2 linked regions of the Arabidopsis thaliana genome follow. The protein of the gene in region 2 interacts with the protein of the main gene of each other region in a pairwise test. Each region holds a gene or a part of one and is shown on either strand. Other genes may lie near its edges. The genes, in order: BAP1 and BON1.

The links.
Region 1: the proteins of BON1 (region 2) and BAP1 interact in a two-hybrid assay, tested with the Arabidopsis thaliana proteins (2 studies listed by BioGRID).

The regions. Positions count from the first base shown.
Region 1 is NC_003074.8:22,645,163-22,661,483, forward strand, and holds BAP1 (BON association protein 1), read right to left. Parts: upstream 6,437-16,321; 5' UTR 6,254-6,436; coding exon 5,675-6,253; 3' UTR 5,441-5,674; exon of another isoform or gene 5,292-5,440; intron 5,214-5,291; 3' UTR 4,997-5,213; downstream 1-4,996. Other genes in the region: AT3G61180 (RING/U-box superfamily protein), read left to right, coding at 518-1,062, 1,263-1,382, 1,478-1,610, 1,692-1,856, 1,952-2,128; LCR54 (low-molecular-weight cysteine-rich 54), read right to left, coding at 2,609-2,790, 2,928-2,976; AT3G61200 (Thioesterase superfamily protein), read right to left, coding at 12,437-12,580, 12,673-12,819, 12,913-13,188; AT3G61210 (S-adenosyl-L-methionine-dependent methyltransferases superfamily protein), read right to left, coding at 13,719-14,345, 14,495-14,653. UniProt on the Arabidopsis thaliana protein: Negative regulator of cell death and defense responses. Exhibits calcium-dependent phospholipid binding properties.
Region 2 is NC_003076.8:24,857,742-24,874,101, forward strand, and holds the start of BON1 (Calcium-dependent phospholipid-binding Copine family protein), read right to left. Parts: upstream 1,601-16,360; 5' UTR 1,558-1,600; intron 1,532-1,557; exon of another isoform or gene 1,454-1,531; coding exon of another isoform or gene 1,410-1,453; coding exon 1,257-1,409; intron 1,094-1,256; coding exon 1,046-1,093; intron 960-1,045; coding exon 811-959; intron 729-810; coding exon 680-728; intron 606-679; coding exon 549-605; intron 408-548; coding exon 222-407; intron 129-221; coding exon 1-128. Other genes in the region: AT5G61910 (DCD (Development and Cell Death) domain protein), read right to left, coding at 1-128, 222-407, 549-605, 680-728, 811-959, 1,046-1,093, 1,257-1,453, 3,112-3,220 and 5 more; AT5G61920 (FLX-like protein), read left to right, coding at 7,089-7,657, 7,740-7,887; APO3 (APO RNA-binding protein (DUF794)), read right to left, coding at 8,489-9,311, 9,539-9,924; AT5G61940 (Ubiquitin carboxyl-terminal hydrolase-related protein), read left to right, coding at 10,204-12,384, 12,459-12,587, 12,685-12,837, 13,068-13,114, 13,197-13,357, 13,449-13,552, 13,653-13,844, 13,950-14,156 and 4 more; AT5G61950 (Ubiquitin carboxyl-terminal hydrolase-related protein), read left to right, coding at 15,825-16,360. UniProt on the Arabidopsis thaliana protein: Negative regulator of cell death and defense responses. Negative regulator of several R genes, including SNC1. May have effects in promoting growth and development.

The sequences.
Region 1 (16,321 bases), on a different chromosome or scaffold from region 2:
TTTTCATGTACAATAAGTTGGATTAATCTTTAAAAAATAAGTTGTAAGGATCCATCAAATAATCCCCTTCTAACTATAATACGCATATTTGGAGTTTAAACTCTCAAAATTTAGATATTGAATTGAGCCTTAAACCTCGAAAATAAAGTATGTCTACTACAATGATATAATTTAGATATAAACTTAACATAACACAAATTGTGGGGGTACAAAAAATGTTAGCAAAAATATAAAAAGTCCTTTTGGAAAATAAAAAGATTTGAGCAACTACATTAAGTTTATGTATTTTTTTAGAATTTCCCGGAAGAATAAAACTACTGTAGTCTCATGATATCAAAACGTTTATTGGGGACAAGACATTCTCTTGTCGTTTTGTCAATTATCCATTAGATAGAAACTGGTCCTCGAAACCTAGAATCATCCACCCCGCAAAGTCGACAGATTTCCAGCGAATTCAAACCCGATCCATCGAGATTCTGGATCAACCCGATTACCCAAGATCCAATCTTTCTAATTGATGAATCAATCGATCCCTTCTACCGTATCTTCTTCTCCGACGACTGATACGATGGACGCTTCGCCGCTTCTTGGCCGGAACAGACGTAACCGCCCACGGTCCTCTCAGCCGATTCGTGGCGCGGCGTCGAGACTTCTCCGCCGTGCTAGCAACCGCCGGATGATGCTCCGTGAGCCCTCCGTTCGAGTCCGTGAGGTGGCGGCTGAGCAGCTTGAGGAACGGCAGAGTCAATGGGCTTACTCTAAACCCATTATAGTTCTCGATATACTTTGGAATTTCCTATTTGTGATTGTTTCAATCGCGATTCTAGGGTTTAGTTCTGATGAAGATCCTGATGTTCCTCTTAGGTTGTGGATCATTGGGTATAATGTTCAGTGTTTGTTTCATGTTGGATGTGTCATTGCTGAGTATAAACGTCGCCGTGTTGCTAATTCTCCTCCTCCTAGTGGTGAAGATTCCTCCAATCACGAGTCTCTTAGCGGAAGTGAAGATGAATCTGATGGCTATAGCATTAACAACACTGATGATGATGACCATGGAACTAGGTTCAATTTCTTTCTTATGGCTACAGCATTATACTAGCTTAGATTCAGAGCAATGTTGGTTCTTGTGATAGACTTATACTAGCTTAGAATTCAGAGCCATGTTAGGTTGAAGGAAACTTTTAGGATTGTATAGAAATAAAGAACTGAATGAGAACTGTTTCCCATTGATCTACTCTCATGTGGTTTGTTTCCTATTCTAGTTTCACTAAGCACCTTGAATCTGCGAATACCATGTTCTCTTTTGTGTGGTGGATCATCGGGTTTTACTGGGTGACGGCTGATACCGAGGCACTAGCTCAATCTTCGCCACAACTCTACTGGTTTGTTTCTAACAAAAGTTGGCTGTTGTGATTTTGTATTCTCAAGAGTTTGTTTCTGTGATTTATTTAATCTTTGTTTCTTGTGTGTTTTGCAGGCTCTGTGTTGCATTCCTTGCGTTTGATGTTATGTTTGTTGTCATTTGCGTAGCGGTTGCTAGTCTTATTGGTATTGCTGTTTGTTGCTGTTTACCTTGCATCATTGCGATCTTGTACGCATTAGCAGATCAGGTAAAGAAACATTATGATGATGAAGAACAAATGAGTCTCATGTTTCTTGGTGAATCCTATTAAGCGATTTGTAAATTTCAGGAAGGTGCACCGGATGAAGAGATAGAGAGGCTTTTAAAATTCAAGTTTCTCACAGTAAAGAATTCTGAGAAAGTGAATGGCGAAATACGGGAAACTCAAGGAGGGATAATGACTGGATTAGATACCGAGTCTCAAACCGAACGTATGTTATTAAGCGAAGATGCTGTAAGTAACCATAATCAAATCTCCCATTTTCTATCGAATTTGGATAAAGACACTGAACTGACTTTAGCAAAACCGGAAAAAAAAAACCATTGCAGGAATGCAGCATTTGTCTATGTGCTTATGAAGATGGAGTAGAACTAAGGGAGCTTCCTTGTAGACACCATTTTCACAGTTTATGTGTAGACAAATGGCTAAGGATCAACGCTACTTGCCCTCTCTGCAAATTCAATATCCTCAAAAATGGTGAACCTAGTGGCAGTGAACAAGTGTGATGAGGAGAAAGATTTTGCTGTTCAATCTTTGTGGAATGTGATGAGCTCATCATCATCATTTACTTCAAAGCCTGTTTGTTCTTTTGACCATTACAGAGGAAAGAACAAGAAAGAAGACCTTGAGATTTGTTTTGAGATGAAGCTGCACATCTTGTCTTTTTGGATATGATATTTGTAAATGCAATAAGTATATATAGTTCGGTTGGAAGATGTTATTCATCGAGTCAGTTGTGATTTTAGCCGTTTGGTGTTTTTAAGCAACGGATTAATTAGATTAATGTACGGTGATGAACCATGCATGTTTATATTGCTGTGACGTCATTGTAGTGAGGTGAAAAAGAGAGAGAGAGATCACTATTTAATCAGAATTCACATTCAAAAATATATATATAAATCACTGCAATCAATTGTATTCTAAAAATTTATTCAACGTAGTAAGTCAAAGATTGATGATATAGTTTGTGGATAACAGAAGACAAATCAACTGGTGCAGTCATAAGTGCAGATGCAGACCGTGCTTGTAGTATCAACACACACGCCGTTTCCACCATGCTGCATAGTACATTCATGTGCGCATATCAAACCTTCGCAGTTTTCCTGCGGTGTTAAAAGATAATCATAACACTGTTTTTCTTCTCCTTGCGTTTCCTTTGTCACCATCCCTAATACAAAAAAATTAAAACATAGTCTCAGTTTCCTTTTGATAGAAAAATAAAAGGTGTTGTTGAAGAAAAACTAGTATGAATAATAAAGACGGAACGTGGAAAATATTAAAATATGTGTTATGTATAAAGCAAACCTAAAACGAGGACGACCATAAAGATAGCAAGAGTGATGGCTTTAGTCATTTTTGATAATACAACAGAAATGAAATTATCAAAAATAAGATGACAATGAGTGTAATGATCATCTACACGTGAATGTCATATATAAGATATCACAAAATCTCTAAAATTAGTTAAAAATCAACAAGTAATTAAGTAGATGTTGTATTCAAACAAAGAGAAATTAACTTAAAAGTGGAAACGTATAAAAGTGGAAAAGAGAAAGAGATCATATTACGATTATCTACCATACTAATGTGGTTATTCTGTAATCGTAAGTAGCAACAAGAGAGAAGCGTGTGGAAGTAGTTAAACTGTTAAAGGCTTAAAGCCAATATTGCCGCTATTTTAAAAGTCCGACAAAACTTCCTTGTAGACAACATTTCTACAGTTTATGTGTAGACAAATGGCTAAGGATCAACGCGACTTGCCCTCTCCAAATTCCATATTCTCAAAAATGGTGAACATAGTGGCAATGAGCAAGTGTGAGGAGGAGGAAATTTGTGCTCTCAGTCTTTGTGAATGTGATGAGCTCATCATTACCTTAAAACATGTTTATAATTCTTTGATCATTACAGAGGAAAGAACAAAGAAAGAGGACCTGGAGACTGCAATATTAATTTTTCCAAACCCGTTGCTTTGTTATTACTATTTGATGATGGTTTGATACAAAAAAAAAAACAAATTTTGATGATGATTTATGGATAACAGAGACAAATCATGTTTTGCAAATAAACATGCAGTTGCAGGTAAACTGATCGGTTTTAGAACACCCGCCTACTCCCTTAAACCTTGAAGCACACATAGCATCACACGGCGAAGCTTTACAGCCTTCGGTTGGTGTTATAAGATTATGATGACACACACTTTTTCTCCTTCTGCTTGTGTTTCCTTAGTCACCATCCCTAATAATAATAATAAAATATATAATTTCAAAATTTTAATATAAAATAAAGAAGTGATATCAACACACTGAACTGTGAACAAATGAGAAAAAGGTGAAAATACATTTAATATGTTATATGTATAAAGCAAACCTAAACCTAGAAGAGGACGACTATGAAGATAGCAATAACGATGGTTTTAGTCATTTTAGATGATATAATAGAAATGAAAAACTTTAAAGTAAAACGATAATGTACACCCAAATATCATATATATATATATATATAATCAATCACAAAATCTAAAACTAGTTTTTTTTAATATAAATCAACTAGTAATTAAGTAGGTAAACGGAAAGAGATCTTTTGAAACAAATAAGAAAAATATCTAAAAGAATAAAATAAAATTTGAAACAAATAAGAACTTGGTTAATTATACATAATAGTCTATATGATACATGAATAAAACAAAAATGAAAAGTCAATAAATAATTAAATAGATTCTCGAAAATAAAGAAAAAAATTATAAGAACAGGAAAGAGATTTAGAAACTTGATATATAAATGGAAATAAACAAAAACTTGATAAATCATACCTAGTTTTGTTATATGCAACATCAGATGTGTGAGAACACTCAAAGTAGCATATAATATATGAATTAGTCCGTTAGGATAATCATAATTTTTGATTATTAAACTATGTATCTAAGAAAACTAAAAATATTGGGTGTATACAGTTGTCCTCCTGACATGAGTATATGATTGTAAGTAGGGATAATTAATCCGAATACTGGTTTGGTTTGGTTCAAAAATTTTGGTTTTTAGTGGGGCGATAAAGAGGAAGAGTCATATAAAGATTATCTAAAATAATAATGGGTTTTGTGTTGTAGTCGTAAGCCGTAACTCGTAAGTAACGAACGAGAGAGAAACGTGTGGATTTAGTAAAAGGCTTGAAGCCAGTGGCCGCTATTTTAAAAGTCGGCCGAAATCAGAGACTAAGCCCAATTGCGCCAACAAACTTTTACCAAAATGGTTGAAATTTCTATAATCTTGTGAAGTTGTTAATTAGTAAATCAATTCAAACAAAAAATCATAAACAAGAACAGACGGTCGTAGTGAAGCCAAAATAAGTCCATAACAAAGTGCCCACGTGAGGTACATCTAACACTGCACATTTTATATCCGTGGAAGTCTTATCTCTTCTCTAACCAGCAGAGAAACTACTTTTATCTAGTCTTAAAGTTGTGCGGTATAAAATTGTCACAGCATAAACATATTACAATTTCATTTCGATTTTTTTGTAAACATGCCCATAATCTATCATAGTGAAACAAATATAAATATTTCAATTTGTCTCTGTTTTTTTTTTTTTTTTTTACTTGAGGAAAATCCTTCTTCTTTTGAAGGATTAAATATCATAGATTATATGACGTAACTTTGACAAAAAAAAAAAAAGATTATATGACGTAACATTCTCAAAACAATTTAAATTGATTATAAACATACCACTAGATATTTGTTTAATCATATCCGCAACAAATCACCACGCAAGTAACGTTACAATAACTCACAATCATTAAATACAAACCAGAACAATTGCAAGACTTTTTTTTTTTTGTTTTCTTCTTCCAACAAACACACCATGCACGAACTATAACAACAAGTTCTTAGATATCATCGTCGAACAAATTTGACTTTTCTATTTTCAATTTTGGTTTCGTGAGTATTATAACAAAAATTAATCACACATCTTTGTTCCTCAATTCCAAATTGGGAAAATCTATGGAACAAAGACGAAGAATTAATAATATGTGCATCCCCCCCCAAAAAAAAAAGATTTTAAAATTGGCGTTGATACAGACCCCAAACCGGAACTCCGGTAACAGTCCGGCCACCGTATCCATCAATCGATGCCGTCTCTAATCTCGGCCTCCACAAACCAGTAACCGCCGCTTGGGACGAACACGCGCCGTAATCTCTGGTGGGATCCGATTTAACCAAAATCGAAAGATTGACGATCCCACACTTATCACCAAACTCATCTCTCAATCTATAGCTCAAGAAGTTTAAGTGACCTTCAGGTGAATACCTTCCCATGAAATCATTCGTTGGGATTTTAGCTTCTCCGATTTTTTTATCATGCCCAGAACCTGTTCGATAAAATACCTCAATGAAGATAAACTGTTCATTACCATTGATGGGCATCTCTGATTTATAGTTCCATGTAGGATTGCTTCTTCTCGATTCGTCAAGATTAGATTTTCGACATTTCTCGTCGATTTTTACGACGGCGAAAGTCTTTTTCTTGATGGGTCTCCGGTTTAGCTTAAGCCCTTCTGCTGATCTCAAATCAATCTCCAATGTTTTTGTCATCATTGTTGTATAATGATTGTCGATTGATCTACCAAAATATATCATTTGGGTTTAATGTTTATTTGTTGGTCTAATCATTAAGTAGAATGAAAGAACAAGTTTATATATAGACAACATCACTTAGGAAGGTGACAAGGAAGTTTGGAAAGAAGTCGCTCGGAGATTTCTTCTCTTTTTCCCGCCAGCTCATTATCAAGATATAAAGAAGTCGACCAAACAAAAAAGGGCAAAGACAACAAAAAAAAAAGACAAGGAAATTACGTTTAAATTTTAGATTAGTATTTTGTTCATTTGAATTCGGTTTTATATCAAAAAATAAAATAAAATTGTTTGAATATATTTTATGAAAACAATAAAACTGTTTTCAAATGAATCATTATTTTTTGTTTTTTGATAAATAATACTTAACTCTTTGCTGTGTTAGTTCATATATAATTTTGTGCTTCAGCTTAAATATTACTCCTTCATTTTCTTCTATTTAGATGAATGTGTAAATTATGAAAAGGACTATAAATTATAAGTGGTCATAAATTCTCAAATATATTTACATTTTTAAAAACATTTTTTAATATAAAATAAACTAAATTCTGAGTATTTTATTACTAGTATAATAATAATAAAAAAAAAAATTTAGTTTTGTGATTATATGACATTTCGAATCTCGCGAATCACGATGTTAGTTTATTTACGTAACATCAATCTCAAGATTTCTAATTAATATAAACACAATTTGTTTTTTGAATAATGTTGTCTAGTTAAAAGTGTAATACGACAAAAAGGAATTAAAACAATGTGGCATAACCGCATAAGCGAGTTGAATCCAGCAGCGTGATAAACGCGGCGAGACGCGAGAACGTTCGTTGTTATAAAAAAATGCGCGTACCAGCAGCTACGATGAAACACGAGTATAATTGTATAAAGGAAAGTACTCGTTTATTTCTTCCTTAAGATCTACTTAATTATTCGTTTTTGAAATTGACTCTTTTTTATCTCAACTCCAGCTCAAGATTTCCTAAAATCCATGTAGTTTTGTCGTATAAAATAAAATGTGGTAATCATGTTCTAAATAATTTACTAAAATTATGAAGTGTCCATACTCGTATCGTATTATGGTGTAAGTTTTTTTTTTTTGTTAAGTATGCTCTATATGGCCTTGATATTTAGTTGTCGACAGAGTCTTAATTATATTTTTAGATATTAATTAGAACTTACATACTCAGGATAATAACATCAAAATACTTTTTCTTGATGTTAAAAAACTTAACTTGTGAGAAAATTATGTGGAAAATTCCTTCGCAAAACGTTTATTTGAACGGAAACTATAGTTATAACTTTTCACCAAATATTGATCAAGAATTATTCAACTCATTTGAATATATTTTCGTACGACCTCTTAGTGTAAATGGAGTTAACTTTTGTTTAAGAAGGTTGGAATTTACTTAGACATTCAAATACGTAGACTTTATCAAACAATCAAAAATACTAATTATCTAATACGTATAGATTACTTTCGTCTTTTTCTTTTTTTACGAGTGGAACGAAAACTCATGGAAAATATTGGGGGAGTCGTTGACTCCATGTCCTACTTGTACGGTTGTACACTTGTACCATTCCTTAATTCTTGGACAGGTTGTGCAAAAAAATAAACTTCAATTTAAAGTGAAGATAGTAAAACAAATAGTAAAGAAATTTATGGTTTCTTATGATGATTATGTGATCATGTTTGCACGTAAGGTACAATTACAATTAAGTCTTCACCACGTAATATATATGCCTTAAAAAATATAATATCTATTTTTGAAAATATGTACCGCATATATATCATCAAAACATCATTTGCAGAAAGAAAAAAAAAACATAACTTTCGAATTTCTCATGTATTGGAAACATCTGTTTGGGTTAACCTGCAGTTACGAATTTCGTTGGAACCTTTTTTCTCTTGTTGATTTCCATGAAACGTTGTATTTTGTTTTCTACTCGCATTGTATATCTTTTTTCAAGTATTAAAAAAAAAATTTGGATGTAGAGCAAAATACATTAACTCGACAGCTTCAATTTTCTAATCTTTGCGTCAAGTTTTCAAAAAGTCTTCTCATAATCTGAAAAGCTAACATTTTACGGCCATTCGATTTGGAGGAAGAACAACTTAACGTCCCACAACACTCGAGAGCCGCAAACTGATCATAGTCGCATATATACGATTCTATATATACTACATATATTTTTCTATGTGGAAATGCCCCTTAATTATCATTTTTTAATAAAAGATAAATATAATAGCCCTTAATGTTCAAAAAGCTAACTTGTAATATCAAACCGATTTACATTGTGTTTTTAATTAACGTATGGGTGTGCTATATACTAGTTTGTATAAATTTGAGATAGATTGGCCATATGTACTATAAAAGGGTAATGATCATATTGTTATAACAGGAGGAGTTACGTTGTCTAATCTTATACTAGCATGCCTTGGATTTTTCATGCATGCATGGATCACAATGTGTGACGTCACCATGTGTTTGTCAGCACACTTTGTGGAATTAAAACCCCATCTGATAATTTTATTATAGTGCGATCTATCAACTATAGTACTTGCGTGTAAAATATTCTGACACTGAATAATTATAGTGTTTTTTCTTGGTGAAACAATGATATCTGATATATAATCGATTAATCGCATTGGTAGCTAGGTTTGCAAATTTATCTATTTCTTCAAATTAAGGGTCTAATTTGCTACCAAAGTAATTAAATCGGCGTGTATCATATAGCCATCGAAACTGAATCAATTCGTATATCAACCATAAGAAGTTGTTTTTTCTTTTCTTTTCTTATTAGTTGTGAAGTTTGGAACTGAACTCTAAATACGTCTAAATTGGTTAGAGACTAAAACGGATAACTTAGTCTCCTCCGAAATAATGTTTAAATCACAGTGTCTGGAACTTCACTAGATTTATAAAACCGGAAATATTGGGTAAAAAAACATTGCCAAGTCCATTGACTTCATCTAAAGACTAAAGTCACCGATCGAAGCCACTTTCAAGTGTTCCTGACAACGAATTTAATAGTGTTTTTACATATGCGACAAAGGGAAATGATAGGATATGATGTGTATTTCCATTTTGATAGGATATGGTGGGGATTTTCCATTTTGATTCCGATCGAGCCTTAGAAAAATATTACATACATATATTTAAAAAAGGCAGTGGCTGGGAAACCTACTACAGTATTCGATAAAGACAGTGAAATCAAGACAAAAACCTAGCTGTTACATTGAGAAATTTTGAACAATTTACATTTATGTTAAAATTATGAACTCACCCATTTGCCAACATATGTTTCCATCTAATTACCTAAAGATCGGTATTAGGTTTTATATATACCAAGTTAGCTAATATTTATTATCAAAAAATAAAATTCTTAAAAAATATTGTTTTATGGTTAATTTGCTAACATATTTGCTAAATGCTAATTATTTAACAGATTATATATGATCAGCATATCCACCAAGAAAAAAGATTATATGTCAGCATCATTCTTCATGTTTAAGCGTATAATTTGGCTTATTCCCCACAAATGATTTCACCGGTTAGAGCCTATAAATTAGTACATCTTATTGTTACCTAGTCACTTCATAATCTTATCAAATTCGAAATAAAGTTAGGTGAATGAATTTATTAGTAATTATTAGACGAAAATTGTGCCTTACGTTGCATATATATCCGGAAAGCTACACTAAAAGAAGTTGACCTATAAATACCTATAGCAAGTCTATAAAATCTAAATTTCCACGAACTTCCACATATCTACTCTATCTTATGATTCTCATTTGCATCTCTGTCAGATAATGCAGAGTCATGTGCGTGACATGATACTCGGTGACCTCATAACACATCTTACCAATCTTTCATTAAATGAAAAAATGATTAGCGGTACTTAATTTTTTGGTCCAGAGCTAGTAATTGTCATTGGAAATTTTGAATGCACTGATGCAGTGTACTGTGTATCCCAGTTGACATTTAATGGTCTATAATTTGGAAAAATGGAAAGAAACAACAGTTGCATCGTATCACAGGATAAACTTGGACATATCATATGATTTAGTCAATGATGATCATTTTTGTTATTAATAGGAAAAAAATTGTTCTCTTTTCTTTCATAAAATTTTGGATATTAGCCTTGACATGACATATAATTTATGTCATGTGATTTAATCACAAAACGATCAAAAAGTGTTATATATCGTCTATAACTCGTACATATATTCACACTATCGAAATTAAACATGGATACGACTAAGACAATACGATGGTATACAGGTCAAGGTTGACTCTTGGTTTGTTTGTTTTTTAACAGGTCAAGACAGCAATTATGAGGAATTCAAGATGGGCTTATGAATTTCCGAGTTCATTACGATGAAATGAAACAGAATTATGAATATCCGCATTCTCATTATTACATGTAAAATTTGCTAAAACCGAAAGACACAGAGATACTTTTTAGGGTTGTTGAGAGATTTCTAGATGAGGTATGTTCATAAGCATCATTATTTTAATGTGATTTGTGATGATCAGTGCTCTCAAATCACTTTTGCATTTCTCCATTTACATGAGCTAGCTCCTACTTGTGGCTTTATGTAAATCCTGGTCTACACAAGCTAGAGATTCCATTGACGAGTACCATGGTGATGCCTTTTTTCAAAGCAGGTGTTCCTGAATGCTCCTTCGTTAGTTCCATGCCTCATACACGAATGGTATTCAGTGCAGGATCCAATTGGACTTGATTCCTTGACAGACTTTAGCTTTTCTTTAAACCAAAAAAAGAAGAATATCTCTGCTAGCTTCTCATAGTCTGCTCATTATTGGGATGCACTATCTTCGTAGAGGGAATGTAGAGTTGTACATATAAAGTGGTTGACTTGGGACGAAATACCCACATTACTGTAAAATTTTAAAAATCGTGCTCGAATATCAAATTTGGTGGTCATCTCAAAACATCCCACAAGACAATATAAGGAGTGAAAAAAAATGGAACCTGTCAGACCGCCGTGCAACCACCCCGGCAAGGTAGAACCGAGCCGAGTAACGATCCTCTACAGCACCAGATGCGTCCTAAGACGATCGTAGCCGTCAATCACGCTCTGATCGCACGGCCATGGTTCATCAACCAGGGTTAAGGGCCTGTCTCCTTAGAAATCAAGGAAACAGAGGTACGAGCCTATAGAACAGATCCTGTTCAAGTAAGGTCGTGACCAACAATGCTTCCTCACACTTTATATACAATCAAGTGTTTTTTGTCATATTAGCGATGTGGGATAATGTGTAGGAACTTATAAGAAAAGCGTACATGGGTAGTTGGGTACTGGGTAGCAGTGATAAATGGGCAAAAGCCCACTTAATTATATCAATAGCCCAATTATCTTATTGCTCCATTTAAGCTCTCTACCACACGGTATGGGATGGCAATATGGCATGGCTTTCTGGTTCTTACAGTTTCGTAAACCCAATTTGAGCATGTTATCAGGAACTCAATATTAAAAGATCTACATTTGTCAGTGAATTGGGTCTCTGAGCATTTTCTTAACCAGAAATCTTGCGATGAAGTGATGATAGACGCTAGTGGAAGCAGGTGAAAACATTTTGAGCAGCAGCAAGTGACCAATAAAAGAGGACCTGTATGTGAGATTGTTGTGGCACACTACCAATTTAAACATTGATTCCTTTTGTACTTCTCTCTCACAGGCTGTGACACATCTGATGCACCACCACCATTTTACTAAATATTTGAGGCCCCCAATCTAATTACAGCTAGCTTGATAGATGGGTTGATTTCGTGTAAGAATCATGCAAGTTACCATTTTCAGGAAATCTTACTTGGTGTCCTTGATGGAAACACCGAGAAACGTGATGAGGCCTTTTCCTAAGCAATATACGCCTGAGGCCTAAACCTGGTTCCCGGATGCTCTTCCATAGATCTATACTTTCCAACACAAACGGCATCCATTCATGTATCTATGTCAAACCACTGCACTTGATTACTTTAGAGACTTCAGAGATCTCACCTTGTCATACTCTGCTAAATGGGGATGCAAAATTCTTCGTAGGTGGATGATAATGTAGTAGTGTTGTATAAACTGATTAAAGACAGTAATATCTGTATACAGAATCTTGTTTTATTGAACAGAAGAATGTAAATAGATCAGCAAAAGATCACTGAGCATGTGAAAAAGCTTTAAAGCTTAGAGATGGGAGAATGGTAAAAAGTAGCACGAGATAGGTAAGTGACTTTCATGGTCTCCTTGATCTTGAACTCAACAGTCACCACCGACAGATTCCTCCCAGTCCTCACCACCGTTCCCTCCACCAACAATTCACTCTGCAAAATAAATCTCAAACAATATAAGCTTCTGTGCTTTGAAGATCAGAGAGAGTCTTAAGAGAGACGAGAATGAATGTTAGGTGGCTTACCGAAATAGGAGCAGAAGAGAGATAAGACATACTCAATTCACCAATGAACAGATGTTTGTCTTCAGACACAACAGTTTTCACACAAGCCATCGCTACTCTCTCTGCAATTGATGCCACCGCTCCTCCATGTAACCCCTTAAAGAAATTCTGTTTTCACAACGAAACCAATCAATTTTACAAATCAAAGATCGAAACTTTACGAAACCCATTTGATCTAATTAGAGAGAAGAAGATGATTACGGATATGCCTGGCGTGACGGTGACGGAGCACGAGACACGGCCGCGTGCGATGGAGAGAGCTCTGGTATTGTTTTGAAATAAGACGGAGAAAGAGTCGAAAGAGGTGAAATCGTTGCAAGATTCGTCTGGGGAAATAGCTTTGAAGAAATCAGCAACCATTAATACGTAATTTGGATCGATCACTTTGGACACCGCCGTCGTGTCGGACGAGATCGGAGTAGAAGACATGTCGGTGTCTTCTGGGCTCCCAGTTTCACGGAATTTTGCCCAATTCATTTTTAACCTACTCTGATTTTTTTCCAAATTGATTTTTTTTTTGTGTAATGTTGACTTTTCTCTCTTTTGTAATTATTTTTTTCCTATTTTTAGACAGTAAAAAACTGTAAGAACTTTTTTAGGTGAAGTGTACAAAACTATAGCCACAATTTTTTTTATGCCGATCAATTAGTTTATTCACTATTTTAAATTTTTGAATTAGATTTATTAAATAGTGTTATTTGGGTAAGTGTAACTAATGAAAATCAATTTGTGAAGAAATTTATTTCAGATATGAGCATCTTGCTTATATTAACCTTTTATTTATATATAACATCTTTATATTTACAGTGCTATAAATATATTAATTAATATATTAATTTATACAGAAACGAAAGTTATACAAAGTAATGATCCGCATTTAAATCAACCAGGTTGCTCTCAAGACCTGTTAAACATAAGTTTTCAATCCTAATTCGATTGATCATTGATGACATGCGTGTATGACATATAGTTAATATATATCTCAAAGGGGAACATATATTAATTACCTAAAGTTTCCCTGCAAGCATAAATGCCTTGTAGTGAACATCCTTGACTTGTTCATCATCACCCCAAGCTTCCTTAAACTCATCAATCATATAAGAAGTTAAAAGATCCTCTCCTTGCTCCTTTGCTTTCACTAGAGGCTGCCATGATTTTAAGAACCCTAGAAATCCATCTAGCGAAAGCATGTGTGGGATGTCAAGAGCTTTAGGCCTTCCTTGAGTCCCCATCCTAATGTTTTTAAAAGGAAACTCTATTGTTTTATAACCATCAAACGCCAAATTCATAGTCGGGTTTCTGTAAGGTAATGTTGAATCCACAAGACGTTTCATGATGGAATCAACCTTTGGGGTGATGATGAGATCGTTGTAAACCCAAACTACGATGATACCGCCTTGTTTACGAAGAACACGTTTCACTATGGGGTAGAATCTCTTTAGGTCGAAGTAGTGAAGAGCTTGAGCGGCTATTATGATATCTATGGAGTTTTCTCCACCGAGTAGAGTCACTAGATCGTCGTCGGACATTGATGATGGAGTGTGATAGTAAGTGACTTTTGGGTGCTTCATTGCACGTTGGAGTTGTGATTCATTTATATCAGTTGCCACCACTTTCTGGTAGTACTCAGCGACCTAATTACACAATATATATTTGACTCACGTACGATTAGTTCATTTAGGCTTCACATAAAAATTGATCGTGGCTTGAAGTATTTTTAAGGAAATGTATCAAAACTTCAAAAGGTTCAAAGTAACACTATTGTTTTAGAAAGAAAACAAACCCCAATAGCAGCCTGACCGTTGCCGGTCCCAACATCCCAAGCCACCTTATGGTTGCTGGTTCGACCAGCCAACACTTTGTACCATATTGTAGGATATTTCGGCCTTGCGTTCAAGTACTCATCAGCTTGCTTTCCCGACAAAGCAGCCAATTGAGCCATTTTTTTCCTTGTGTTTTTTCCCCCTCTCTTTCTTTGCTTTTGGTTGATAGATTACAATTTCACTTCATAATTTAATATTACTTATAGTAGTCACGAAAATTTGGAAAAGAAAAAACTCGAATCTCATACCTTACTCAACTAGATTAGGTCTTAAGTCTTTATATTCTTTGAAGATAAGGATGCTAGAAAAAGATGATGTCGAATTTACAGAAATATAACGTCTAACATCGCATTTATGCCGCAATCCACTATAAAAGAACATGTTTTATTGTTATTCCTCACCGAATTGAAGGAAATAACGATTATCGCATAGGTTAACTACGTTACAGATTTGTCCGTAAATAATAAACTCCACTAAAATCATACATGAAAAACTCTACGTACTAAATAAATACAGCTTTTTTTGAAGTAAATTTCAGTTCAGATTAACAACTGGAAAAATCTTGAAGTAACTAGAAATCGAATAGAATAATAATAAAATAAAGGGAATGTGACACTATGAGGCACTTTTAAGAAATGTTTTTCCGTTTTAGACACTTTTAAGAGTTTAGGCACTTTATCTTGTTTTTGGTGAGAAAATAGACAAAATTACCCTTGAGATTTTGTCTCTCTCTTTTTCGTATCCATTCTCTCTCTTTCTCTCGCTTTATCAAAAATAAAAAATCAAGAAAACAAATCTTCAAAATTTACATTTTTTTTACGCCATTAAAGAGAGAAAAAAGTTGTTGAACGTTTGCAAAGAAGAAATCATCAACTTCTTTCTTTCTTCCTTCTTCAACAAATCATCAGCTTTCTACAAAAAGAGAGATTGATTGAACAATCAGATTCAACTTTATTTTTCCAGTTAATCGGATCTCCCGATTTCTCCGTGTCTGCTTTGATTAAGGAGAATTTTTCAGATCACCAACTTCAGAATATGAATCTGATTTTTATAAGAGAGGATCTGTTGGATTTAAAGAACTGCCATGGTAATATCATCACATATTCACATCCTCTTCGTTTTTCTATCGTTTTCTGTTTTTGCTCTTAAATAATTTATTTTTCGATTTCATGAACCACCAGGTTGTGAATAAACCAAATTGGCCAATTCCAGTATTGAATTTTATATCCATTTGATCAGCTTGTTTGGTATCATATGATTTTGGCTCGATAAATTGATAATATCGTTGAACTTCTAAGTTAAGAGTATTTTACTTTGCATACGAGAATCAATTATTTCCACATGGTCACGTCTAAGTGGACATGTTATTATCAAAGCTTCCAACACGATTTCATTATGTAGAAACTAATAATCATATAGGTCTCCAAAACACAAGAACAATCTGTAGACATTACTTTCAAACATCAACACGCTAAATCCAAGTAGATAATGATAGTTTGTGTCCATGATAACTCATCCACTTAAACTTGACCATATGGAGTAATGGTGAAACATGACAAACACTTGAACACAAATGATTCATGTTTAGAGCTTTCATCAATTATAATTTGAATGAATAAGAGTATCATTGGTGATGCAAGAATCACAACTTGGTCAAAACAAATCATACCAACACACAAAAGTTCATACATCAATGAATATCACCAATTTCACGAGTAGCGTCCATTTTTTGTTGACCACTAGTTCACTTGTTTATAGACACTCTCATCGTTATGTGGGTTGATCAC
Region 2 (16,360 bases):
CCCACTTGTTGAACACTAAGAAAGACTGGCTTCCAAATAGGGTTAAGATCATTCTTCCGGACTTCAGTTTTAGACACGGGAATTGGAGTTCCATGCTCTACAATCTTTGATACCACCAAAAAGGGGTCCTAAAGTTGAGCCACAACAAAAAAAAAGTGTTATATTGATGTCAGAACTAGAATTTTATTAAAATGGTAAAGAGAATAAACAACAAAACTTACACTTTTTGAAAAAAGATCCTTAGATTCCAAATTCGAACATCTAAATACTATCTCTGTTGAAATCTTAGAAGCAAGGGACTCCTCAGCATGGATGATAAGCTTTCCGTGGTGAGGCTGAGCCTGTGGAGCAAAGCCATCTTTGCGCTTGAGTTCTAATGTGCTCGTCCTAGTTGATTTTGTGATTATCTGCGTGGTTGAAAAGTTAAATATAAAGTATTCTCTCTCTCTCTCTCTTATAAGCTAGGCAATAAAACAAAATTTCTGATGTGCCTCTCAGAGAACCAGCAAAAACAAGTGCACATATATTGTCAATGTCAAAAATGATACCTCAGACAATGCACATGTTGCCTCACCAAGAAACTGCTGTTCGTCAAGCTTAAGCATCTGAAAAGTATTAACATATTGAGAAAAGTGAACATCAGATCAAATGAAAATGCAGGCAGTAAATAAACAATTACCTCCTCTCTTGAATTTTGAAATTTGGTGTCAACATCATACACACGAAACCTGAGTATAAAGAAACCAACACAAAGAGTCAGGTAAAGGTTCATCTCTTTCCTCAAGTCACACAAGATAATAAGAAACTTACACCAATGTCTGCACAGTCTCGAAATGATAAGCGACTATAAATTTCTTAATCCATTTCGGAGCTAAAGAGTTCAAAACAACTTCACTGCGGAAAACTTCTGAAAGTGTTGCATCTTTTTCTTTTTGATATACAACAACCATAGGATCACTCTGCAAAAAAACAAAAAACAAAAAGTTTGTCATTAACTAAAATGACCAGCTATGAAGACTAATTCAATTTTGAATAACAAAGTAACCTTGGAGAGCACGTCGCGGTCTCGCAAATTCGAAGCTGAAAACGATAGCTGCATCAACAAAAAACAGTATCAAACATGAATCCTCAGAATATACAGGGAAAATCGAATTTCGCAGTTTTCTTCTTTCAAACGAAGCACACACATATCATTGTTAAACGTTTTTTGGCGGAAGTAGAGAAAAAACACGAGAGATAGATGATAGTGAAGGAACCTCTATCTGCGAGAAGAGTCCGTTGAAACCTTTGGACTTGAGATAGTAATCAAGGGCGTCGTTAGTCGCACCGAGAGCGGCGGAGGAACCACTTCCACCAACGCCGGCTGTAGCACCAGCACCGGAGGCGACATCGGAGCAACAATTCCCCATAATTTTTGATTTCCCAACAAAAAAAACTGCGGATTCAAAAGTACCTGGATCGAACAACAGAGACAAACATTTTTTTGTGAGGAATTTCGGAAGAAGAAGAAGATTCAGAAGAAAATGATAATCTGGGAGAGCAGTAAATGGGACCCACTTGTCTAAGTCGCGCTTTTTCTTTTCTTTTAATTGACTCGCTCTGTTTTACAGCGTCTCCTTCTTATATAGGTTTTTTTTGTTTGTTTTCATTTGATTAATATTGACTTACGAAATATCCAAGAAACGTTAAGCTGTTTTCTGAGAAATTCGCTCTCTTTTTTTTTTTTGTATTTATTGTAGTAAACGACGTGTTGGTCAATATCAGATTAACCTCAGACATATTTAATTAGAGCAATTAACTTCTGTGACATAATCTTTCCAGCTTACAATATCAGAATATTGTTATCGATTATAATTGTTATATCAAATACATATTATCTATGAAATCCTTTATAATATTTTATATGACAAACAGTTGGTCTTTAATAATTTTATTTGCAATGCACTAATAGTATATATATAATTCTTTTTGCCAACTGGATCTGTGATGCTTTTAGCGAAGAATTGTAATAATTTTTTTATTATTATTATTTACATGAAATTTGAGAAATTTTCAGACGAGTACAAGTCGTTGTTGCTATGGGGACATAAAGTGAGCAATAGGAAATAGTGAGAGAGTTTCACGTGAGAACATTTTACAAAGATAATTAGTAGTTTATTACCATGGAGGTCATACTTTGTTTATCTTTAACACAAATCGTAAGGTTCACACAACTCAGAAATTTTGTAGAAAAAAATCCCACAGATCATATCAGTAAATGATGATAGATGGGGACTATAACTTTCAAAAAGTGGATAAAGATAATATAATAGACATCTATTGAAAGAAGCCAACGTTAACTCCAAATTTATCAGGAAAATTTGCATTTTTCAATTCCAATTAAAAAGACCTCGAGACAATTCAGAGAGTTGGATCTGATCATGTTTTTCCCAATTTCAGTATTTTTTCCTTCGTCAATAATATTTTGATGATCTGTGACACAACCAACAAAGCTGTAAACATACGGGACCCTTGACCCAAAAAAAAAGAAACAAGAGGGCAAGACCAGAGCCTTAAGTAAATTCTGTAGCAAACAAAACAAAGTAGGTGGAAAGAGTGAGATAGGTGTCTTTTAAAATCTTTTTTATTGGAGAAGAAAGAAATAGATAAAAAGTTTTTTTGAAAGAGAAAGAGAAAAAACAAAGAACATGTGAATTGCAGTGCAAGTGCTCAAACATACATAGTGGGAGACTTAGGAGTCTTTTCTTTTCTTTTTTGTCTACCAATAGATATGGCTTAGGGTTTAGGCCACTTAATCTTAGAGCCAATAAGCATATTCTTGGTCCCTAGGTTTCGTTTGAGAGAGTGTTTAAGATGAACCTTTTTGAAGGTAGTATTCTTAATAGCAAATCCCAAGTATTAAACATGACCATACTAAAAGAAATGTTTTAGCATAAGTAATGATAACAGAGTTATAATATGTTTTATTAACTTTAAATCCCAATCAGAATTGCATTTCAGATTGCACTCCTGAAACGGGACTTAAAGAAGTTTTGATGGTTTGAGGAATTTCCTCATGCGCAGCTCAGAAATGAATATGATCAAACCGTAACATAGAACTTTTAAACTTACAGTAAACGGAGCTGGAGACTCTAGTTTTATGTCCTTGACCTTCTTTTCCACTGAGTGCACCAGTTCGAGTCCATGCTTCCGCACCCATCACGCACAAGTTTCTCAGATCCTGCAATACCAATGCAAATAGGTTTTCAGCAAATCGTTTCTCACCTGAACCGAAACAATGCTTTAAATACACGAGACTTAACAGAATCCTCTTTGGCATACCAGAGTAGCAACACTTTGCTTTAACGTTTTAAGATGTTTGATAATACGTTGTGGTTGCATCTGCTGTCTGAGGGTAATAAGACTGATGCACTGCATTCCAATCTCCTGTTGCAGAATATGCCTGGTTTGCAGCATTACAATCAGTTGTCCCAGGAGCCCTTGGTACAGAACCTTGCGTCACACCTTGTTGACTGTATACAACAGCGTGAGCATGGTATTGCGGCATGTAGCCAACAGCTTGAGCATGTGGTTGCATTGTGTATTCAACAGCTTGAGCATGTGGTTGCAAAGCATACCCAGTTGCGGCAGCATGGGGTTGCTGAGCGTACCCGGTAGCTGCAGCATGGAGTTGCAGAGCATACCCAGTAGCTACAGCATGGAGTTGCTGAGCGTGCGCGGTCGCTGCAGCATAGGGTTGCTGAGCGTGCGCGGTAGCTGCAGCATGGGGTTGCTGAGAATACCCGGTTGCCGCCGCATGGGGTTGCTGAGTGTACCCGGCTGCCGCCGCATGGGGTTGCTGAGTGTACCCGGTTGCTGCAGCATAGGTTTGCTGAGAGTACCCGGTTGATGCGGCATGAGGTTGCTGAGAGTACCCGGTTGCTGCATCATGAGGTTGCTGAGAGTACCCGGTTGCTGCATCATGAGGTTGCTGAGAGTACCCGGTTGCCGCATCATGAGGTTGCTGAGAGTACCCAATTTCATGAGGTTTTTGAATATATCCACCAGCATGGAGTTGAGTAGTAGGCCCCATAGCTGCATAATATTGCTGTTGTGAGTAACTATCTGTTCCAGCATATGATTGTGTACTTTCTTCCACATTCCCAGGCTGTGAATGCGTGCTATAATTACCCGCTACACTTTGAGGTTGGTGTGTGTAACCAATTGCTCCAGCAGGTGGTTGTGAAGCTTCACCATGTGCCGGTGTAGGATAGCCAGCTGTCTCGGTATGAGATTGAGCAACACTAACTGCCTGCATATCTGGTTGCATGGACTTTGTAGTATTGGAAACTGTTGATGCTTCTGGGTGATGGTAAGTCCCAGCAGGGATCTCATGCTGCTGACTAGCTTCCCCTTCCTTTTGTGATGCTGAATTATAGAACTCACTTCTATACACACTCCCATTAGCTGCAGAAGCAGAAGGATGCTCACTCCCAGATAAAGTCGAAGGGTAATTTTTATTATCAGAATAAGGTACAGCAAACTGGTCCTTCTCTGATGGTGTTGCCGGATGATATTCATTTTCTGAGGCCAAGCGATCTGATGCAGATCCATATCTGTCATTGCAAAAAAACCAAGCCCTATGATTACACATTCACATATAAGTAACTGCAAAGCCAGGAAATAGGAACAATGTAAACATCTGAAGAGTGGAGGAACCTAGTAGAGTTCTCAGGTTTAGCTATGATTTTAAACATCTGATGGCTACAACTTCAGGTCTTCAGTGAGCTATGATCGACATATTTGGGCAAAGATAAAAGTTCACCATAGGTACCTCCGAATATTAGATAAAATGGTGAGGTATTTGAGTTGAGGATCCTGAATAGATGACCGCGGAGGTTCGGACCGAGGAGAATCTGAGCGAGAAGGGTCTCCGAGCAACCGTAGTTGCCGAGCTTCTGTAGGATAATAAGGCTGATTCAAATTTGACAGACTTTCTCTAGGTGGGGTCGTGTAGTCGTCTTGTCTAAAGTAACTATGTTGAAGCAGAGATGTGCGGGGAACAGGCTGATGGGCCATAACAGAGCCAAGTCGTGGTTCTACATGACGAGCAGACAGAGGATCTAAAACCGATGAAGCATTTCTAAGATGTGTAGCCGCTATGAACCTTTCCTCAAACGATAGAGTCCTAGGTGCTGAAGCTCTGGAAGCCAACCTATGAGGCAACAAATCGAGTTCTGGAGACGTAAATGAACGAAACAATGATAACAGAGACATAACCTGCAATCCATGAACATTTTTGTTTAGCATATCATAATTGAAACTTGAAAGCCAAGCCGGAAAGCCTGGAACTTTGAAAGGCTGTGTTATAAATAGCAAGAAAAAGTGTATTACTTGGTGAGGAGAAAGTTCTTGCTTAAATTTGGAACCTTTGTAATTTTCATAGATAGCAGACTTGAAAGTGTTTTCTGTCAAGGGTAAACAGTTCATGACAATTCTAAATCCAACCTGCCAAAATCAAGTAAGAAAATAGAGAAAAGAACAATCTTAGGCAGTGCCATATAAACAAAATCATATGTGTTTCACACACAGGCTTACTTGAGCTGGATATTTCCCTTCAAAAGCTTCAGGTTCTATATCCAACCTGCCACCAACAGTAGCTTCATACACACCATAAAGAAGTCTCTTCTCAAAGTCATAGAGGAAAAGCTTCATGCCTGGCTTTATACTCTCAACAACGTCTTTTCCTCCTCTTGGAATCCCGAAAACACGGTAACGGTAGCAATCGGTTTTCGTTCTCCCATTACACATAAAGATATAACCAGGTAGTTGCTCATGATGATCTAGTCTCCTTTCTATTCCTTTTTCTAATCCAATGGTTGTGTTTCCATTCCCATAAGCAGCCACAAGACTTCTATTATAACCCGGAGGAGCAAAGTATTGGGAGGCAGTAACATGTGAATTACCATTAGTTTGTTCACCATCTGAGAAATCCATCTCCGTCTCCATCGCTTCTGCCATTTTCAATGCATTTCAGTACAAGTACGAAGATGACACTGAAATTACAAATTTGGAGCTTAAAGCGATTGAAACAAATGTGGGATCAAGAAATAATAATAAATACCTCAAAACGAATTAGGTTATGAGAATCTAACAGAAAAAGCTTCTTGAATTTCAGAAAAAATAAAATCAAAGAGAGATATGTGAATGAGGTAAGAAGAGCAAGAACAAAACTTACTTATCGGATATTGAAACCCTAGAGACAGAAATTGAAAATCAGGAAGATTGAATTCGAGAGATATTTTTAGCGATCAGCTCATTATTAGCTTTCGATTTTTATTCAGATAATTTCAAGCGTGCGAATCTGAATTGATGAAGTTGGATTCTTCTTCCCTTGTTCAAAAAAGTCGGGAGAAGAAGATGACTTTCAGAGAAGGAAGCTGAAGGTCACGTGACAGGCATGGAAGGGAAACTATTAAAATGGGCCAATTACTATCTAATGGGCCTTAATGGATTAATACTGGCCCAAATCTATAAACGAAACTAATTTGGCGTCTTTAATGGTTTTTAAATCACAATTTACAGAGAACTGGAACTTTTTTCTGACAAGCCGAGACCAAAGCTGGTGCTGTTGTGGAATCGATCGTTGTCTTTGATTTGATTAGAGATCAGGTTTTAGAGCATAAAGCTCTTAATTTTGCGACACTTATCTCATTTCGGTGTTCGGTTTCAGCTAATTTTAATCGAAGATCATCTCTCTTTGTGAATTTCAGGTTCGTCCAATTGTGATAAGGATGATATAAGGGTTTCTTAGGATTTGGTAAATTGGGTCTTGTTGTTAGCTTGAGAATCTAATTCGTAATTCCTCTTTCTGGGTTTTCTTCTAGCTCGTGTCAAGATACGATGTCTACAGATTTGCCATTGTCTTCGATTACTCAATCTCATTGCATAGATAATTTGTCTGAAAGAAGATAGCATAGTGTTGAATTTAGAATTTGCACTCAATTCGCTTCTTAAAGTTTAAGTTTTTAGGTTAAAAAGGAACTCTTTGTTTTTCTTTGTTCAATCTAAGTTTTTGAGTGGAGTCTTGTCTTTTTCTTTCTTCCAGAATGTCTTCAAGGGAGAGGATAGGTTCAAATCATCATAGCCGAGTTAGCCAAGGTATGTCAACTAGTGGATCATCATCGTCGAGGCACCACGATACCATTTCTTCGACTTCGGATCCTCGTCATCTTCGAGACCACCAGATTTCACTTTCTGATATTCTAGAAAACAAGATTGCAGTTCAAGCTGCTGAGATAGACCGGCTCTCTAATGACAACCGAAAACTAGCTTCAAGCTACGTAGCTCTCAAGGAAGACTTAACCGTGGCTGACCGCGAAGTCCAGGGGCTAAGAGCTCACATCAGAAAGACGGAAACAGACCACGAGATTCAGATCCGATCGACTCTTGAGAAAATAGCGAAAATGGAGGGTATGGTCAAGAATCGAGAGAATATAAGGAGGGAAGTGCAATCAGCTCACATTGAGGCTCATAGATTGGCGAGAGAACGTGAGGAGCTTGCTTCAAAGGTGAAGTTGGGAATGAAAGATTTGAAGAAGGTTTGTCTTGAGGCAGAGAGTTTAGAGGCGTCGAGTCAAGAGCTTGAGCGGTTGAAAGAGGAGCATCAGAGATTACGGTAAAAGAATTGTCTTTTACGTGTCAAGTAACTGTTAAAGATTCATCATCAGTTTTTTTAACCAATTGGTTTGATGGAACAGGAAAGAGTTCGAGGAAGAGAAGAGTGGGAACGTAGAGAAACTTGCGCAATTGAAAGGGATGGAGAGGAAGATAATTGGAGCGGTTAAAGCGATTGAGAAGCTGCGAAGTGAGATCTCAACCGCAAGGAACAAAGCTGTCGAGAATTGAATGGTTTTTACTTTGTAGGCTGACCAAGAGGCTCCTCTATATAGGGAGGATCACAAGAACCGCAAGGATCGCAAGAGGATCAAAGCTGTATATGAGTTTTCATTTTTTCTATATCAACCTGTTTCTTCTGAAAAAAAGATAGAGAGTAATGAGTTAGAGAAGTGCTTGAATGGTCGATCACAACATCTGCTGAGAATTAAACACCAATGTAGAAGAAACGAAGGAGATTATTCTACCGCCTAAACAAAGAGTCTTCAGCCATCTTTTTTTTTTTTTTTTTTTTTTTTGGTCAACCTGTCTTCAGCCATCTTAATACATTCTTTAGTGCCTCTCGTGTAAAACAATGTCAGTTCATCGAAAAACAAGACCGGGTTAATCTACGAATCTGGCTAATAGACAATCGCTAGTTCTATTCTGAACAGTGAACGCCTTTAAGATACCAATCTGGAACTTTAAGATTTCTTGTATAAATTTATAGGACTTCAAGAAATTGAACTGGTTCAAGGTTTAAGAATTGAGATGAACCTGAACCTAAGATTACAGGGGAGTATTTCACTGTGTCCATACTAAATCATTAAGCAATGCTGAATACTTAAAGAGGTCAAGCGACTAGATCGACCTCATCGCGTTGAGGGTAAACTACATCGAGCCTCATCATACTGTTGTACTGATCAGGTACCGGTGCACCACCTTGCACACACATCTCTATAACCGCAGGAGCCTTCCCGTAAAACCTCTTCAAGCTATTATCAAGAACAGAACCATCAGTAGGATCCCGAACATGCCACACATAGGTTGGACCGACCACATCATCAATAGTCGCTTCTTGCCAGGCATGCATTCCGTCTCGCATCTGATGCTTTGTGGCTTTACACATCCTTACTTTGTGTCCCTTTGGACCCACCTGAATCTCTGGACAATACCCACAAGTCCACACTCTGTATCTCTCCATCAGTTTCCTGACCCCTAAAACCATTTCAAACCATGACTCCATCGTCTCGAAGCTTAATTCCTTCAAGCTCTTCTTCTCTTCCTTGCAACGATCATCTTCTTGTATAAGTGTAGTAGTAGAAGTAACTGCCAATTCTGAATTTCCATCGTTGACGTCCTCAAAATCCACAATCCGTCCTTCGATGCTGTACACAGGTTTCGATCTTCGCTTGGATGGGAATTTCTCGAGGTCTACACCAGCCTGTATGCATAGCTCAAGAACCGCAGAGATTTTAGGGACAGTAAATCTCTCATCATGTATAACTCTCGGTTTCACAGCACGGTCATAGAGGTGAAAACATTTTGGGAACAACACAACATCACTCACTCTTCCTCTTTTCCAAACATGAGTCGCACTTCTTGAACCACTCCCGGGACCAGTGCAAGTCCTGATTTCATGACCTTGCTTGCCAATATGAACCTCAGCGCACAATCTGCAAACAAACCACACAAGTTCAAACTTCAAAACTAGCTAAAGCCAACTTAAGTCTCAATTTTTTTTCAAATCTCACTGGATCTTCTGTTCCAATCAATTACCACACAAAGCACGCAAAACACTTCAAGGATCAAATTCTGGTTGTATAGATTATATAAAACGCTTAAACAAGCAATAGGAAGTATCAGCAAATCAAACACAGAGATGAGACAGAGTGAAAGTAACCTGCAACGATGAACAGGAACATGATGAATGATTTTAGAGAGGCCAGAGAGCAACATGTTACGGCATCGGTGAACACAGTGAGCCACGTCGACAAGTTCCGGCACAAGTAAACCATTATCCGGTGGATCTTCGAGAACTCGACATGGTTGTAATTTTCTCAGTTGTTTCTCCTCTTTCGCACGACGAATCAACTCCTTCATCGGAGTCGGATACGGTTTCCTCTCCGATTTATCCTTCGGAGGTTTAGGTACGTCGGCGTAAAGAGGATCTTCATCATTATCAACTGAAACGTCGACGTCGAGATTGGTTAGAGATTTAATGGAAGATGAAAAATTAGATTTTCTGATTACGAAGATGGAGATTTCTACTAGCTTTCTTCTCTGCATTTTTTTTTGTCTCAAACCAAAGCTTTAGTATTTATCTTTATTAGTGGTAGTGGAGTAAATAAATGAAAAAAACTTTTTTATTTCTTTCACTTGATTTGTCGAATCTCTCTCTTGTTGCTGATCTTTTCAAGTTCGAATTTTTGTTCATACCCAACATGAAGACGATTCTAGATTCAATTATTGAGCTAGATTTGAAGATTTTCACTCATTATTTTGATGATTTATTCCGGGAAATTCTCAAACGGGTAATGCACACAAGGTGTTTGATAGAATTCCCCAATGATCAAAATTGTGTCTCTGTTTTGCTATCAAGCCTTGTCACGTGTCTTTCACGTGATGATACGGTGCCTTGCTGTCATTAGTCAGTTACTTTCGTTTGAGTTTCCCCGCGTCGACTCTGCTTCTTCTCGCGATTCAGATTTCTCTCCGAAGAAGAAAAACCCTAGAGAAAAAGAAAGCAAAAGAATCTTGAGAATCGTTTCGTTTACTATGGATTCTTCTTTCATGGAAGATGATGAGGGAGCACAACTCCTTGAAGATGCTCAAAAACTCTTTGATAATGGAGATCACATCAAGGCTTTGGAGATAATTGAAGATTTGATTTTAGTCCATGGGGAAGATATAACCGCATGGCGTCTTCATATCAGAGAAGGTAAAATGTTTGATGACCTAGCGAAGAAAACAGAGGATCCTGACGTGAAATTTGCTTACTTTTTGGCTTCTGCTGAATGCTTCTCGGAAGATGGTACGTTATCACCAATTTGTGCTAGTTCACTCTTCCTGTTGGGCCAAATGCTTGGGTCAGTATTGTATTACAAGAAGTCTTTGAAGAAAGCGAAACAAGGTTTATCTGTTAACTCTCTCCCAAGCAAGTCAGATTCTGTTGCTCAACTGAGTTTGCAAGCGCAAAGAGAATTGGACAAAAAAAATAAAGCACTGTTGAGTTTAATCAATGACGCAGAGTCCGAGATCGCATCTTCCAAGACTCTAGTTGGTTCTACTGTAAAAAACACTAAACCAAAAGTTGTGGAGTCAAAGAAAAGTCAAGACCCGCGTGAGGATGCGTTTAAAGGATTGAGGTCGTACTGGGTGGGATTGGATGTCAAGATCAAAAGGGATTTTATGAAAGTAAGCATTGCAAAGCTTACAAGTTTTGTTGAGGGAGTAGGACATTACAAAGAGGAACGAGAAGTTTTAGAGAAGGTTCTCACTTCGGCAAAGGAAGACAGAGAATGGAAATTCTGGATATGCCGAACTTTGTGTTCGAGGAAGTTCTCTAGTGCTGAAGAATGTAAGAATCATCTTGAACAACAACATGCTGCAGATTTCAAACCTTCTTCAGAAAAGGATATAGTCAAGAGGATAGGAAAAGACTGGGTTCGTAAGATAATAGTTGGAAGTTGGGAACCAGTGGATGCAGTCGCTGCCACTGAAATGATCAAGAACCAGCTCGCAGATGTGAAAGCGTTTGCATCTAAAGCTAAGAATGGATGGTCCAAAGAATGGCCTTTAGCTGTGGATGAAGAGCGCAGTAAGTTACTCAAGGAAATCAAATTGCTCCTTGTCTCTTTTTGCGACCTTAAAATTCTCTCTTGTAGCATTCGAGACTGGATGATGTGTTTTCCAGCTAAGCATCTTGGAAAACTTGAAGTTTCTGAACAGAGTCTTGTCGATTCTCGCTTAGTAGAAACACCTCATAGTATCTGTTTTCTAGAAAGTCAGGAACTCACTCAAATCCTTGAGTTTCTAAACCACATCAAATGTAAAAGGAATGATGGTACAGATCTTGTTTGCAGAGCAGTGGACAGTGTCTTGGGTCGTACTCGAGTTAAAGAAAAGATCGACTTTGACCCTCAGTTTTCATTTCTGCTTCTAGATAAAAGACTGCTGAAAATCAATGATGATCAATTCGATGATGATGAAGGGACGATCAATGTTTTTGATCCCAGTGTTCACTACGCCAAGACACCAGTTCATGGAGATGATATCATATCCTGGTTAACTGACTACAATTCAGTAGATAAGACCTTTCCCAGACCTATCAGGGAACACAATCTTGATATCTGGTTGGCTGTTCTGAAAGCTGTTAAGTTCACCTGTAGGACTCTGGGAAACAAATATGCAAAGAAATTACAGGTCGTGGACTATGATGCAGCTCTTACTGATGTCGAGAACATGTGTGTGAGAGAAAATGAAAGGAGAAGGAATCTGCCGGAAGATCAATGGAGCAGATATGCATCTCTTCTATGCGATGTGTGTGAAGAGAGAGTCCCCGAAAATTCCCTAACTACAAAATTATTCGTGTGTGCAGTACGGGATGTTTTCGAAGGAGCATTGCATCCAACACTTGATTTCCTCGATTTAGAAGATTGCTTGAATTTTATACGTGAGCACAAAAGTCTCAGTGACGATAAAGTGTTGCAGGCCATAGACCTTCTGAAATCAGTGGTCACCCAAAAGGTTCATCTTTTAATATTCATTAACAACAGAATAACATGAAATTGTCCATCTAAAAGTGTCTATATGACTTGCAGGTTCTTTTAATGGATACAAAGATCTTGCTGATTGATAATTCAAGGATGAGTTTGCTAAACAACCTCACAAGGCTTTCTGCTTTTGACAACCGCACTTATATCCTTCAACTGCTTAAACCTTTCTTGCTGGTTGGTTTGAAACTGTTATATACAGAGAGATTTTATTATCCGTCAAATTTTGCCTTTAAATTGTTTCTCATATGTTATTATGTCTCTTCTCATCCAGAACGAAATTGTGAATATGGAATCCAAAGCCAAGTCAGATGCAGCAGAAGCAGATCTTTTAAACGAGTTGGAGAAGGAGAAGCTACAATCGAAGGAGAAGCCACAATCAAAGGAGAAGCCACAATCAAAGAAGAGGAGAGATAGAAGCAAAAAGGTCTTTGAAGTTCTAATTTCTCTATTTGCTTCTCTGAAAAATATTTTACATAAGATATATCGGATAAACCTAAGTGATATCGGTTTTAAGTTCTCGGAACAAGTCAATAACGTCTTCCTATCTTATAGGGATATCATATCTTCTATGTAGATATCGTTTCCTTACTTGTAGGATTCCATGGTTTGTGTATATACTACTTGTGAGATTGATTGATCTTCTTGGCGAAACAGAAACCTTCAACGAGCATATCTAGTTCCCTTGATAAGACTGTTGAACAGTAAGTACCTCAATGGCCAGTTTCGCATGTTATAAATTGTTTTCGCGTTTTCTCTGACCAAAACGTTTTCTTACATGTACAGTAAACCTTCTGTCAACCTTAAACCGGAGAGTACATCTTCATCACTAAGAACGATCGAAGAAGGTTCTATGGAACCAGAAGATGCTCTTGCAAGTGAGACGGGTCAATTGAAAATTTCATCCAAAACTGAAATTCAAGTGGAAGCTACTAAAGATGACCCTGGTAGTTAAAAGCTTCTCGATTTGAGCAATAATTTGAATTATATTCTTGTGAGGTTCATAACTTCTTATTTCTTTCATTGACCATTTTAAAGATATGCGAAACATGCCTGGAGAAGATTCACTGTCGGAACATTTGGAGTCAGTAGCTGGAGAAGCTACAACCAGATACAATTCAGCATTTGACATGACGCTGAAGGTAAAGCAATTATCAATCAAAACAAGATTCAATACCTGAACTCTCATCTTTTGATTCCTTATTCTTTTTGAGAAGTTCACAAAAACATGTGGTATTGCAGGCCCTCTTGAACATTAAGGTTCTCAAAGAAGATTTGCTGAACCAACCATTTCAAGACCACCAGGAAGAACAAGTTCCTATTGCACTACAAAATTTATTTACTGCTGTTGTTTCAGAAGCGATACAAGATGAGGGTGTCTACAGTTGCCTCTTGAGGGACTTACTTACTTCCCAAGAAGAAGTTATTTCCATGGTTCGTGTGGAGAAGATATGCTTCTAAGCATTATTTTGTTAATTGTTTGTTGTCATTAATCTTATTTAATATCCTAAAGGTATTCTATTTTTTTGCTCTTTGCAGTCAAGTGATGCTGCTAATGTAGTAGTAGCCATCCTTGATTTTTGGCGTTGCTGGAAAAATCCAGAAAGGGAGAGCTTGGTAACTCGCCTCTTTACCTCGGCGGAAAATAAAAGAATGAGTTGTATAAAATGCAGAAGGATTACAAATTATCCACAGCAAAGTTGTTATGGCATTGTTACGGCAGCAGATACAATCAGAGAACTGAAGGTATTTATCATTTATCATCCTCGTTGTCTTTCCAGCAGAAACTGCAGGTACTTCCCCTTATATAGTTGTTTTGTGCTTAAACACATGCAGTGTGCTTTGGGGAATAGAAATTTTGTAGATATCCTAAAGGTGATCCGCTTGAGATATAAAATGGTATGTGACGCAGAAGGTTGCGGAAAGACGAACTCTGTTCAGCACATTTCAAGTAGATGCCCGCCTATCTTCACAATCGGTAAGGTTTTGACCCCCATGATTGTGATGTTTTTTTTGTACTCATATCATATATTTATGTTGGTGTTTTGTGGGTTTGCAACATCAGTATTGGAATGGGAGAATAGTGCAACTGAAAACGAAATATCTGAAACAACAAAGGCTTTTGACTGGGAGATAGATATCAGCAGGCTGTACGAAGAAGGCTTAGCACCAAACACTAAGTACAGGCTTGTGTCAATGGTAAAACATCTGAAACAGGGTCATATATGTTTGTGCTATTGTTCTTTTGTATTTCTTAGTTACAGTGTAAGAATATCTGGGATGTGATCCAGGTTGGTTACAGTGAAGGAGATGAAGAACACATATGCTTAGCTTATGAAGAAAACCGGTGGGTCAATCTCAGACGTGAGTGTATAGCAGGAGAGGTAAGTCGAAACAGTTACCTTTTGTCTACCTCAGAATTGTATAGTGAATTTAGATAAGGTAGACATGAATGATTGATATATGTGTGGTGATGGCATAGGATGTTGGTGACTGGAAGAATGTGGTCAGATTCTGTGGAGAGAGGAAGGTTCGGCCAGAGATTCTGCTTTACGAAGCTGCCTGATCGATGGCCTAACAAGTGACAATGTGGAGAAGTCTAGCATTGATGTTTCCATCTACCAGAAGACACTTTTTTATCTTTGCTTTGGTTTTTTTTTTGATGAGATCGATGTGATCCAAGTATAACTACGGTACCTCTTAATTCACTATCACTTGAGTCTTAAGAGTGTTGTTACACAAGATAGAAAACATAGAGAGCGAGAAAAAAAAGATTGAAAGAAAATGCAGAGCTTGAGCTAAACGTCTTATAGCGATTACCTCAAACGACATCGCTTAACATCATCAATAGATACAACCACTTAACCGGCTCGGTTATCTTTCTGGTTCGTTTAAATCCCCGAATACTCCGAGCGAGTTAGAGTCTTTCCTTCAACGGCAAAACCAAAACCTCTCAAGAGTTCCTTTTATTGTTTTTTCAACATCACTCTCCATTTTTTGTAAAAATAAAAATATCTAATTTTTCTTGTGTGGCTCTCCAAACATTTTCACGAATGTTGTTCATCATCAACATGAAGACCATTCCACATTCAATTCTTAACCCATATTCGAAGATTCACTCAATTTTTGGGTCTTTTTTTGATTTTTTTATTCCGAGAAAATCCCAAACGGATAATGCACACAAGGTGTTCGACAAAATTCCCCAATACTCAAAATTGTGGGTCTCTCTCTGTTTGTTTAAGGCTTGTGTCACGTGGCTCTCACGTGATATAAAAAGCCAGCCTCTTCTTCTTCAGTACCTTACGGTTATAATCGTTGATTGTTCCCGCCTCTACTCTCACAAATCTCTCTGAATCATCGTGATCCACAAAACAAAACCTTCGAGAGCAAGAATCATCGTGAAGAATCGTTACTATGGCGTCTTCTTTCAAGAAGGATGTTATGGCGGAAAGACTCTACAAAGACGCTGAAGATCTCATCGCTAAAGGAAATCACATCAAGGCCTTGGAGATACTTGAAGATTTGATTTCAATCCATTGGAATGCCAATGACGCATGGCTTCTTCATATCGAACAAGGTAATGTTTTCGTAGACCTAGCTGAAAAAGCAGAGGACCGTGACATGGAAGTCGCATACTTGTTGGGTTGTGTTGCTTGCTTTTCGCAACATGTGACGGTATTTGAACTTTGTGCACAATCACTCTTCATGTTGGGCAGAAACCTTGCGTCTGTGTCACATTACAAGAAATGCTTGAAGAAAGCAAGAGAGGCTTTATCTGATAGTAACTCTAAGAAACTGAGTTCTTCTACTCCAGTGGCTTTCCGAGCCATAGTATCCCGAAAGAAGAAAGACCTCGAGGGTTTTATCGAAGATGCAGAGTCCATGATCGCTGCTTCCAAGACTTCTCCTTTACAAAAACCTGAGCCAAAAGTTCGGGACCCAGAGAAAAC